2 linked regions of the Schizosaccharomyces pombe genome follow. Changing the gene in region 2 together with the main gene of any one other region gives a genetic interaction. Each region holds a gene or a part of one and is shown on either strand. Other genes may lie near its edges.

The links. A genetic interaction does not mean that the proteins touch.
Region 1: mutations in sgo2 (region 2) and pds5 together harm fitness more than expected from each alone (negative genetic interaction), as found in Schizosaccharomyces pombe (3 studies listed by BioGRID, with this or other methods).

The regions. Positions count from the first base shown.
Region 1 is NC_003424.3:1,910,076-1,916,425, reverse strand, and holds pds5 (mitotic and meiotic cohesin loader subunit Pds5), read right to left. Parts: upstream 4,579-6,350; 5' UTR 4,385-4,578; coding exon 767-4,384; 3' UTR 529-766; downstream 1-528. Other genes in the region: Rho family GTPase Cdc42, read right to left, coding at 39-107, 271-318; serine/threonine protein kinase Ppk1, read right to left, coding at 5,087-6,350. UniProt on the Schizosaccharomyces pombe protein: Required for the establishment and maintenance of sister chromatid cohesion during S phase. Prevents their formation until eso1 is present. May also have a role during meiosis.
Region 2 is NC_003424.3:3,712,094-3,717,088, reverse strand, and holds sgo2 (shugoshin Sgo2), read right to left. Parts: upstream 2,948-4,995; 5' UTR 2,903-2,947; coding exon 2,866-2,902; exon of another isoform or gene 2,828-2,865; coding exon 2,788-2,827; exon of another isoform or gene 2,738-2,787; coding exon 2,505-2,737; exon of another isoform or gene 2,462-2,504; coding exon 2,394-2,461; exon of another isoform or gene 2,342-2,393; coding exon 776-2,341; 3' UTR 504-775; downstream 1-503. Other genes in the region: bud6 (actin-interacting protein 3), read right to left, coding at 1-283; protein kinase domain and HEAT repeat protein Ppk3, read right to left, coding at 3,329-3,710, 3,770-3,942, 3,993-4,121, 4,162-4,995. UniProt on the Schizosaccharomyces pombe protein: Involved in chromosome cohesion during mitosis and meiosis by preventing premature dissociation of cohesin complex from centromeres after prophase, when most of cohesin complex dissociates from chromosomes arms.

The DNA.
Region 1 (6,350 bases), 1.8 Mb from region 2:
CCAAGTACTTCATTCCATAAACAACTAATTATACTTACATTATCGAATACAGTTGGCACATAGTCACTAGGAAACTTGTTTGTAGTATAGGAAATAAGCAGACAGGTCTACATTCAAACGGTCAGTATGTGTAAAACTCAAAAGAACAATTTTTGGAAAGAAAGAAATAAAGGGGAATGTATAGACAAAAGAAACTTCATTTTAGATGATAGCAATTCTTGTATTTTTTTATGCATTGCTTAACTTCACCTTCCGTAAACATCAACTCACCTTTCCTACAGCACCGTCTCCTACTACGACACACTTAATGGTGGGCATACTATTTCACAAAAAATAATTAATCGTAAAGCTTTGCTTCACTTTATTGAATTCCTAGAAAGTTCAAACCCCTAAGTATCAAACACCGGTGTTGGTTGTAGGTAAATATATTGTGCGGTCACCGTAATTAGTTCGCCCAGCCATGCTTTATTAAGATATACTACAGCGGCTAATCCAATCTCACTATTAGATTTTACGAATTGTAAAGCGTAAAAAAACTCAAAAATGCAACTTTTATTATTATATTACTAGGAATGAAAAAAATTAATAGATGCAGAAGTTATGGAGGCATGTATGTGATGGAGTCATCTTTCAAAAGTTTAGGCAATTAGCAAGCATAGATTGTTTAACAAAAAAGATAGCAATTTATCTAATTAACATTGAAAATTCATTGGTAATATTGGGTAAGTGTTCTAGTATCGGTATTTCGCATCCAAATAAGCCTTTTTTATAAATCCTCTATTTCATCAAAATCTTCTTCGCTAATTTCCTCCTCTTCTTCGCTTATCTCCTCACTTGAAGACGGTGCTTCCGAATAATTTATACGAATCCCTTGAAATCTTGAGCTACTTCGTTCTGGCACGTTCCTAATATTAGGATTCTGCTCATTTAGCTTTCTCCTTTTTTCGTTTTTCCTTCTTCTAGACGATTTTTTATCGCTCTTTGAGCTATGAGTCTTCTTTTGCTTCAAATTTGCGTGCTTATTGGTAGTCTGTTTCGCAAAAGATGAGACTGGTGTCCTTATAGCATGTTCAATCTGACTTTCCATTTTAGGCGTTATGAAGATTTTATTGAAAATTCTCTTTTTCTCATCTATAGAGGGAATTGGTCTTAAAATTTCGTAAGGTAATTTAATTTGCTTTGGATACGTAGTCAAACTCCATCCAAAGTTCTGGGATTTCACCTGCAATATTTTCTGAGCCATGTCGCTTAGCACATAAATGTAATTGTTTCCATCTTCAATAACATCATAGCTTTGTTTTATGCGTTGCATTAGATGAAAAACGATTGGGACGTTCTCACTATTAACAACAGTGTCAACGTAAAAGCGAATGTATGCAATAAAATCAAGCGAGTTCTCTGATTCTATCGAAGATATGTCTGGATGGTGAGAGAGAAGATGGATAAGATATGTTGCTACATATTCCATGGTAAAATCATGGGTTTTCTGGAAAAAAGCAACCTGAGAACGTATCCATATAGACGCTTTAGTCTTGATCTCCTCTTCCGGATCAACAGCAGTCAGGAACAATAAAGGATAATAACTAATTGGCAACTTTTTAAGTTGCAGCTGCTTCTGAAGCTTCGTCAAAAATAAATTTCTCACGTCAAAATTTTCATCTTGGCATAATAAGGAGATTTGAACGTAAGAACTAAAATCTATATGTTCCGCATAAAAAGGAATGGAACATAACTTTAAAAAATATTTGCTAGCAGTGAGACGTAAATAAGCACGAGAAATTTTGGGAGTATTCTTGAACGGACTTAATTCACCGTCAGCCATTAACAATACTTTCAATAGCTTAATGATAGGAGCTCCAATATTTAACGCTTCGGTTCCTCCTGCCGCCGCCCTCAGTCGATTAACCAAAACCCTAATTGCTAAAACTTTGCACATGGTAAGATTATCTAATTTTTCGTAAGTACACCATTCCTCATCATTATGCGTATCATCATATTTTTCAGGAAAGCGCTGTATAACTTTTTTTACTAAAAATTCTGTAACTTGGTCAGCAACCTTCTCTACCTCTTCTAAAGTGTATAGAAATAGTTGTCCTAAAGTCATAAGCCGTACAGGAAGTCCTCCATTATACTCCAAATTTTCCACGATATTCGTTATCATATCGAGTTTGAATTCTTTCGTCTCCGTTATAGCGATAATCGTCGCTGCCTGTTTGGCTTGTTCCTGTGTTCCATGTAGACACAACTTTCGTAGTATTTCAGCAGTTGTTGTTTGTATAGAAAAATTTTTTTTTCTTTTGGAGAATTGGGAAAGAGCTTTAATTACTTTAGGATCCGATTCAATGCCCGAAGAAACTATAATATTTTCAACTTCTATAACAACCTCTCCATATATGTTGGGATGAATTAGCGGTAAATGCTGTAAAAGAGCCTCCGACGGCTTAAGGAAATTGTGGTATTTTACAGGTTCATTTAATAATTGAATTATTTCATGCACGTTGCTTTTATTAAAAGCAAACAGAGCTGAACGGTAAACGAATATTCTAAAACATTCAAGACTTGCGGTACTCAACGTTTCAGAAACCCTTTTAAATAAATATTTTATGCTTTTTAAAACAACTTGATATTCACTTTTAATGGAAAACGTTTGTAAAAGCATTTTGTAGCTTTGACGATCATTAAGTTCCGCAAATTTTCTGAAAGTGGCTTCTGTTAATGTAGGATTAGAACTTTTTGATGATATGATATCAATCACCTTCTTAAGCTTGTTGGTAATTGACTCTTCATCATTATCCATAACACCTCCATTGTAATTTTTGCAGCACTCAATGTAGTAATTTAAGAGTTCCGAATACTTAACTTGTCTTTGTAAAAGTAGAATAAAAACTCGCATCGCTTTTTCACTAAAATACTTTATTGAAAGGAAAAGCCTGTTTAACCTTGTTTGCGTATCAGAACTAAGGTATTGTAGGACCAGTTCAGCCATACAAATTTCAACAGCCGCATTAGTTGTTTCATCATTAACATAAAATACTTCCAAAAGAGATGAAGGGATCCAGCTGAACATCTGTATTGAGTATTCCACACCATCTATAAGGTCTTGATATGCTCTATTATAAATTTGACTTAGTGTCCGAATTGCTTGTAAACGAACATTGAGTTTACGATCACGTAAACGGTCACCCATGAGTTTCAAAGCCTGTACTGAAAATTGCATTTTAAAGGTTTCGAAAGTCAACTGTTCGATCGTTTTAAGAGTAGCAACCCGCACCTTTTCATCCGTGTCGGCCAACTTTGATTGAAGCATTTGAACTACGTTTTCAATTATCTCAGAAGTAGCCAATGAATTCTGAAGAGCGTTGGAAGCAACTTCAATGCATTTGATACGACATGCAACTGATTTATCATTGAGCCGACCACAAAATGCACTCCATACCCTAGGATAATCGGACCATATGGCGTTGTCTTGGAGCATCAAACCAACAGTTTCTATCGCCACAAGTCGCACACTAGTTTGTTCAGCTTGCAATTCATTTTCGAATTGTGGAATAATGTTCAATAACGTGGTTGGTGCATATTTCCATAATTGTAAAACTAAATTGTGCGAGAATATAAATTCTGGAGTAGTCATGGAGTCAGAAAGCGAATCTCTTGAATCGAATATAATATCTGAGAAATACTGGCAAACATATCTTTGTAGTCGATCTGCTGAGTCATGAAAAATATTTCTCGCTAGTTGAAAAGCTGGACCGTGATTAGTAGAATCGGAAGAGCCAATTGTTTGCCTTACGCCCTTTCCTGATATTAGTTGAGCAAATAGTATGTTCAAGGCAGCAGCAGGAATGGTGTTAATCTCATTGATCAACTGGTTAATAATATCAAGCATGTAAAACTCGACATTCTTGGTAGTACCCTTTCTCGCTAAATCAAAGAAGAGACGAAAGATATTTACTAAGAATTCTTCAGCATTCGGGAGATCAACTATTAGAACTGCAGATTTAACGTTCGACAAACTCTCTAATATCTCGTAAATTTGTGGATAATAAGTAGATTCTTGATTCATAAGACCACTAAGAATTTTGAGAATTACTTGGAAAATATCTTCCAATTGTGATAAAGTGAAGGGCGCATCGGGGGCACATAAACGAAGCAATTCAACAATACAACAAAGTGTATAAGAGCGTATCCCTTTATCTTTGTGATGGAGCAAATTGTTATTTACTAATGATCGTGCTACTGGCAATACTGAGTCACGGTCGATAGTATCTTGGGATAGGCTAGTAAGCTCTCCTAGTAAATCACGTAGTCGTTTTAAAATCTCGGAAGTCGTTAACGGATTGTCATGTGTTGGGACAATGTTTCTTTGAAACTGTAACTTTATCATCGCAAAAGTTGGCTTTTGCACGCTTTTGTACTATTCACCTTGGGTATTTAACAAATAAATGACAAATGCAGTAAACTTTCAATGCTCTATATCCATAAGAGCCATAGGCTGATTTTATTAATTAGTACTTCGCAATATTGAAGCTTGAAAGATGCGATTTCAAAATGTGGTGCTCAACTCTTTATTACGTTCGTGTTAGACTCGCAATGTACTTGCTTAAAGAAGAGACGCGTAAAAGAACGCGTTCCATTTATTGTAATTAAAATATTACACTATTTACTAATAAGTATAACTCAAGGGTAATGATAAAATATTATTAACGAGTGAATTAGATATAAGGACATATGAGTGAAAGAAATTTAATAGTTTAAAAGTAGTTTAAAGAACGAAAGGTGCTTGTACCAAAAAATTAAAAATTAAAATAAAAAGTTAGAATAAAGATGAAAAGCGGAAACTGTAAAGTACAAGGCAAGTAATATACACGCTGATAAACGATAAAAATCAGCTAAAGCGTCTTTTTTTAGGAAACCCATTGTTCAACATTGTCAAACAATCAATTCAAGCTTTAATAATTGATAACCATATAAACCGCTTTTCTTAAGAAAAAGTCGAAGAGCCATCTTTTTAAAAAACTAATATAGGAAACAGGCAGTTTGATAATTATCATGCATTGTTGAGATATACAATATCGTAACGCAAACATTAAAAAACGGTAGCGTGTCTCATGTGCTGCTTCTTCTGCCCATACGCGTTTTCTTCTTTGAAACAACCTCCAAAAGTTAAAGGCGAAACTGCTTGAAGAATTAAAAATGAGTTTTCCGTATTGAAGGAGCTGGATACAGCCTTCTGTTTGGATTTCAATTTATTAAACAAGAATGGTATACGTGAACCCCAAAAAGATTTATCCGTCTTTCCTGCTAATAAAGCTCTTAAAGAATCTGAAGCACAATTTAATACACGTTTAGGAGCAACCATAAGGTTAATCTTGCTTTCTACTGGTGACAATGGGGCTTTCTGAGAAGTGGGCCTCTCAAACATGCTAAATGCACGCTTGTGTTGTTTCTTAGTTGGCTTATTTTTCATAGGAGATTCACGTGTTTCAACTTTGGCATGCTTAACCTTATGCTTGGGACGGCGCAGTAAAGAAACCAAGCGGTTTTTAGCATTATCGATTGGATGAAGAGTAGTAGAAGCATAGATACCATCTGCAATTGGTACAACCGGCCTCGTTGAGTGTTTAAGATTGATGCTGCCATGTAATGCCGGTTTTTCTCGATTTAATGAAGTTTTTGTGATCTGAGGAGTCAATTCAATGGAAGAAGAGTAAGTGCTGATTGACGAAACTGAAGAAACACTAGCTAAAGATTTTTGAGAAAGCAAACGGATGGGAGACGGACGCAGTGAGGTCGCTTCATCATCGTTATACGTTTCAAATAGAGACACATGAGACCGGAGATATGCGTGATTCATAATTGCTGACATTCGGACACGTTTTGCTGGATCAGGAACTAAAATTTTTTTAAGAATGTCGCGAGCTTTGCTTTTAAAGAACTCCGGAAATATTAAAGGAGTACTGCAAATATACCGATAGAGTCGAGGGACATTTTCTCCATTTGGATTGTGTGGATCATCGTCAAATGGTAGATACCCAGCCAACATTGCATATAAAATGACACCGCAACTCCAAATATCTGCTTGTGTGCCAGCATACATTCCAGACTTGCAATTCACTAATTCAGGGGCCGCATAACAAGGCGATCCACATGATGTACTAAATAAATCTGGCTTTTCCGTGGGCAATGAGTGTTCACTGAGAGTATTAAAGTGCCCAAAAGTAGTCGCAAAGCCGAAATCCGCAATTACGATATTTCGATTAGTATCTAGCAATATATTCTCCAACTTCAGATCTCTATGTACCACTCCTCGAGAATGTAAATAGGCAACACCACTTATTAATTGTGCGAAC
Region 2 (4,995 bases):
CACTATCATTAACTGTACCTTTGCTCCAGTTTGTTAAGCTTTCAAGAAGCTCCTTTGTTACAACTAAAAGCTTCATTATCGATGTCTCGATTGTACTAATTAAATGAGACGCTGCATCTCTTGACAAAGGGCTGTTGGACGCGCCATTAGGTACAGGCTTCCGATTTGAGTCGGAAGGGACTAATCTTCGAGAAAAATTTGCTCGAGATTCAGTCTTTTGTCTTTGCATTGAATGATTGGAAGAAAAACGTTCACGAGACATATTATCGCCGTTATTAAACATTGGTCCCAATAGATGAGTAAAGCAATGATCCTAATCGCAAAAAAAGGATTGAAAGTTCAACTTAAACTTAAAACAATAAACATAAGAGAAAACACAAAACCAATTAGGTTTGTTATATACAAAACATAAGAATATTGACTTATTAGACTCAGTTGCGTAGGTTAGTACTTCCACCGAGGGCGATCGAGGTACACTAGAAATGGACTACTTGATGAATGTGCTAAGGTACATAGTAAATTGAATTTGTGAGGATTGCTAAGTAATTTTATAATATATTTACACACCTGTTTATTGTATTTAACTAACCAAACCATATATTTGTACATAACGTTAATGACAAGAACAAAATGTGAATAAACAAAGAAAGAAGTAATATGAAATACCAAAGGTTAACTCCCAAAATATTGACTTTTTATTTCAAATTGACGCATACCTCCACTTAAAAAATCTGAACCAACTAAACGATGTCGAAAGGTATTTAATTACATAATATTACAAATTAAGGGTTTCGGAGTTTTCAAGGGTTACTTCTGAAGTAGTGGGTGCTTCAGAAGTAATGTTTGCGGTTTCTGTTTTGGTAGCTGAATCATTCTCAGAGTTCTTAGGAGCACGTCTCGTTTTTTTAGCTTTTACATGATCTGAAGGTAAATCGAAATTCCGTCTTAATTTCGTCCTTAATCCAGGCAAAGCGTAATTAACCTTTTTCCGTTCCCTTCGGCTCCTTCCATCAGGTTTTTCATTTGGCTCATTGACTACTGTACTTTCTTCAGAAGTTTCTTGAATCCGAGCTTTTCTTCGCCTTTTCACTTTTGTTTCTCTTCGCGACTGAGTTTTCGTCACACGATCGTTCTCATTAGGGGATTTCAAATTCGTTACAGATGACAGAAGTTCCAAATTATTATAGGAGCCCGTATCGTTGGTAGCAAAGGAGCTACGTGACGGCTCAATTTCGTAAGGTCGATCTTCAGCATTCAATATTCCTTGTAGCGATGGCGGACGTAACGGAGAATTATTGGGATGGGCTATTGAAAATCCATTTGAAGATGGAGGTTCACTTGACAGTCTCATGGGAGGATTTCGAAAAAGTGTTAAAATTTCCCGCTCTTCGTCGGTAAAAGATTTAGGATTCAGTCCAATTTTGTTAGAGTCATTCATTATTTCTACAGAAAATTTTTCGTTCCCATTAGTGACAGAAGAGTCTACTAACCCGTTTATTTCCCTTGGAGTGTCTGTACGAGGAGATTCAGCAACAGTCATATTTGACAGAGAAGTCGTCGTAACCTGAGGCCCAACATTCTCTTGTGAAGTTAATGAATTATGCGCAGTATCTTCAGGCGCAAACTTCAACGATATGGAGCTATTTAAATTAGGATCTGAAATATGATGCCCATTTCGGTTACTTTTATTTGAAGATTGCACAAGAAGGACAGCAGAATCCAAAGAGTTTGCGCGATTGGGGCGACTATCGGTCTCCGATACATAACCGGTAACATTGGTAGCTGCAGAAGCCAGATTAATTTGTTTATTTTGAATGTCAACGTCCCATTTCCGTTTAGTGGGTGTACTTTGTATTACTGTATCAGATTGTATTCTGCTATGAAAATGAGCTTCTTGTGAACCCTCATTTTCTTCTTGAGCAACTCCATTTGCATTATCTTCTTCGGTTCTTCTTTGTGCAGCTGCTTGATTATTAATTTTGTTGGATAATGATTTTGGACTAACGATTTCGTATTCATGATTTTTTTCCTGAGGAGCAGAATCGATAGATTTATTTTCAGAAGTAACCGCTTCAACTCTATCTTCATTATTATTATTTACAGGTTTCGAATTGGATAGATTGTAAGGATTTTCAAAATCAGCTGGGAGGGCTTTGCCGGATTTTAGCTGAGGTGCTGATTGCGTGTCGGAAAAAACATTAGCTTCTCTTTTTTTTTGTTCATTTATAGCAGTTTCTCCGTCATCAATTATATTTTCATCCTCTATTCCACTTAAATTTCGTAAGGAAACATCATGCTGAGCTTGCTCAATTATTTCTTCGGTATCTTTCACGACGGATTCCTTTCAGACGTTAGATAAACATATCTGAAAAACATAATACGATTCAACTTACCTCGTCAAGGTCTTCAGAATCCGTATCGACATCGTAAGCTAAGTTAGCCTCCACTGGTTTGAAGGTGTCTGTGTTCAATTAGCTAAAAACGATATGAATTCAAACACGTACCTTGTATTTCTTGCTGACAAAGACTTAATTTTGATAAAAAATTATCTGTTTCTTCATGAAATCGATTAAGTAATGCAGCTAACTTTGTTTTGTTTTCTTCGTTTTCGTTTTGCACGGTTTCGAGTTGCTCTTCCAAGTTTATCGCTGTAGTCCTCAAATCGATATTTTCCGAAAGCAACCGTTCATTTTCTAACTGCAATTCTTTAATTCTAATTGATTGTGCCTTGCTTATTCTTTGTATGTGTTAATTAATTATTCAATTCCAACAAAAATGTATGCGTACCGTATAATTTCCTTATACTGTCGAATTTGCTTTTTTTTCACTAATTCATCAGTTGAGATTAATATAAGTATCACGTACAGTCTTCTACGTTCGGGGAAAGAGATGCTTTCGACATTATAAATAGAAAATCCCGATGTACTTCATTGACCACGTTCCCGGTGGAGGTTTAGTACTTAAACGCGGCTGTACAGCAGTATCATTATCAACAAGGTGTAGAGGTGCTGGATAGTCGAAGTACGAATTATTTGACTACTAATGATACACTCTTTGAAAAGAACATTAAAATCCTTTTACATTTACTATACTTTGAATTTACGAATAGATAGATAACTAAAGAAAGAACTACCATTCACTAATCCTTTCAGTGGTATTAATAAATGTTCAAAGAGAAAAATAATTAGCTATTAAAAATATTAATTATTAAAAATCAAGCTTGATTGAAATATGTCAAAACGAGTAGTACATGGAGTACTTAGTCGACATGTGATTTAGTCGTGAATTAATCTTGACCACGAAAAATTATTAATTAAATTCAATCAAATTATAACCCCCAACTTTCCTCTACGTTATTTTCTGTTTCCTCTTCGTCATTCCAGTTTTCCATCCAAGATTCGTCTATCTGTTCCTCTGTTTCAAAAAGAGGATTATTGAATTCATCCTTAGAGTTTTCAGTGTTTCCAACAACTCTACTTTTTGAATTTTTTTTTTCTTTTATTTCAGTGGTATCATTTTTTAACTCAAGCGACTCCTTTTTCATATCGATAGAAGGCGAAGGAGAAGCAGAAGATGAATGAATAAATTTGGACCAAAAAGAACCATTAAATTTTGCCGGTGCGGAAACATTTTCTTTTTCCCCTAAATTAAAGTTTTTTATACGGCTCAAAAATTGGTCAGTGACATCCTCAGCTGTTCTTCGTATTCCTCTAATAACGTCAAAAAGTTAGTAATTCCTAAGTGGTATACAGGTTCAAAAAAATCTTACTCGTTTTCATCAATTAGTAATGGCACCACCGATGGGAAAAGTTTGATGGCCACATCCTTTGTATCAAAGTAATTTTGAACTGAGAGGAGTACTTTTAAGGCTGCCTCTCTAGCAGGAACAAATGGGTCTTTAAGAGAACGTGATAAAGCAGCAGCTAAAACGGGTTTTCGCACCTAAATCTGTTAAAAATAAAGTCCTAACGTTTAGTTCTTCTTAGTCTTACGCTGGCATCTAAATATTCAGCAATTTTACCTAGACAAATGGTACTGTTGGTACGTAAAGTAGGATGTTGGTCATTTTGGACAACCGCTAAGCTTCGTAGTAGTTCATTATTCAATGTTTTCTTCGAAAGCTGTATACTAATTAGCAATTTGTAAGATAAGATGGCTTACTTTTGGTGCTATAATGGAAAAAACAACAATAGCATGTTCTTTTAAGGTGGGAGAATTGGAGCGCACAAGGTTCGCGAAAACTGAAAAGCTAGTGTCTTCATATATATTCTTTGGTAGCACGTCGGGATTGTTAATGATTCCGGAAAGTAGCAAGCCTCGTATGGGAACGCTTTGTTGTTTCAAAAGAGACAATAACGGTACTCCAAAGTCTTTTTCTATATCCGGTCTTCCTTTTACAATTTGAGCACATTTGAATAGAAGCTCAACGACGTCCGAATGGGTGTCAATCGATAATAGTAGAAAGAGGATGTTTAATACAACCTTTTGTATATAGTTTTTAGGAATTACTTCTAGCTTTGACGAAAGAAGTTGTTTTAATTTCACTCTATCTTCCTCTTCGTTTATTCGAACCTCGGACAAAAGTTCATATAACGTAATCAAATGTGTACGAAAAAACCCCCCAGGACGCTCGCCAAGTTTTAGAAATTCTGAAGCTAATAACTTTTGCTTTCCTTCCACATTCAACAGTTTTTTTGCAGAAACAAATATATTGGCTGGAATGTTTCCACGCTGAGATAAGTCCCCTGGCGTTCCATTATAAAGATGAGAAATGAACTTTCCCAATTCATAAGAATCCAAGTAAATGAATGAAGCACTATTTAATGTTGAAGACTGAATTTCAAACGGAACCAACCGACTCCAGTTCAGAATTTTGTCATGATTATCCTTTATAAATTGTGGTGAATCACCTGCTAAGAAAAAGTCGCCTATTATCCATTCATCTGCACTATTAAGATAAACAGAAGACATTTGAAGGTTTCCATGAACAATATT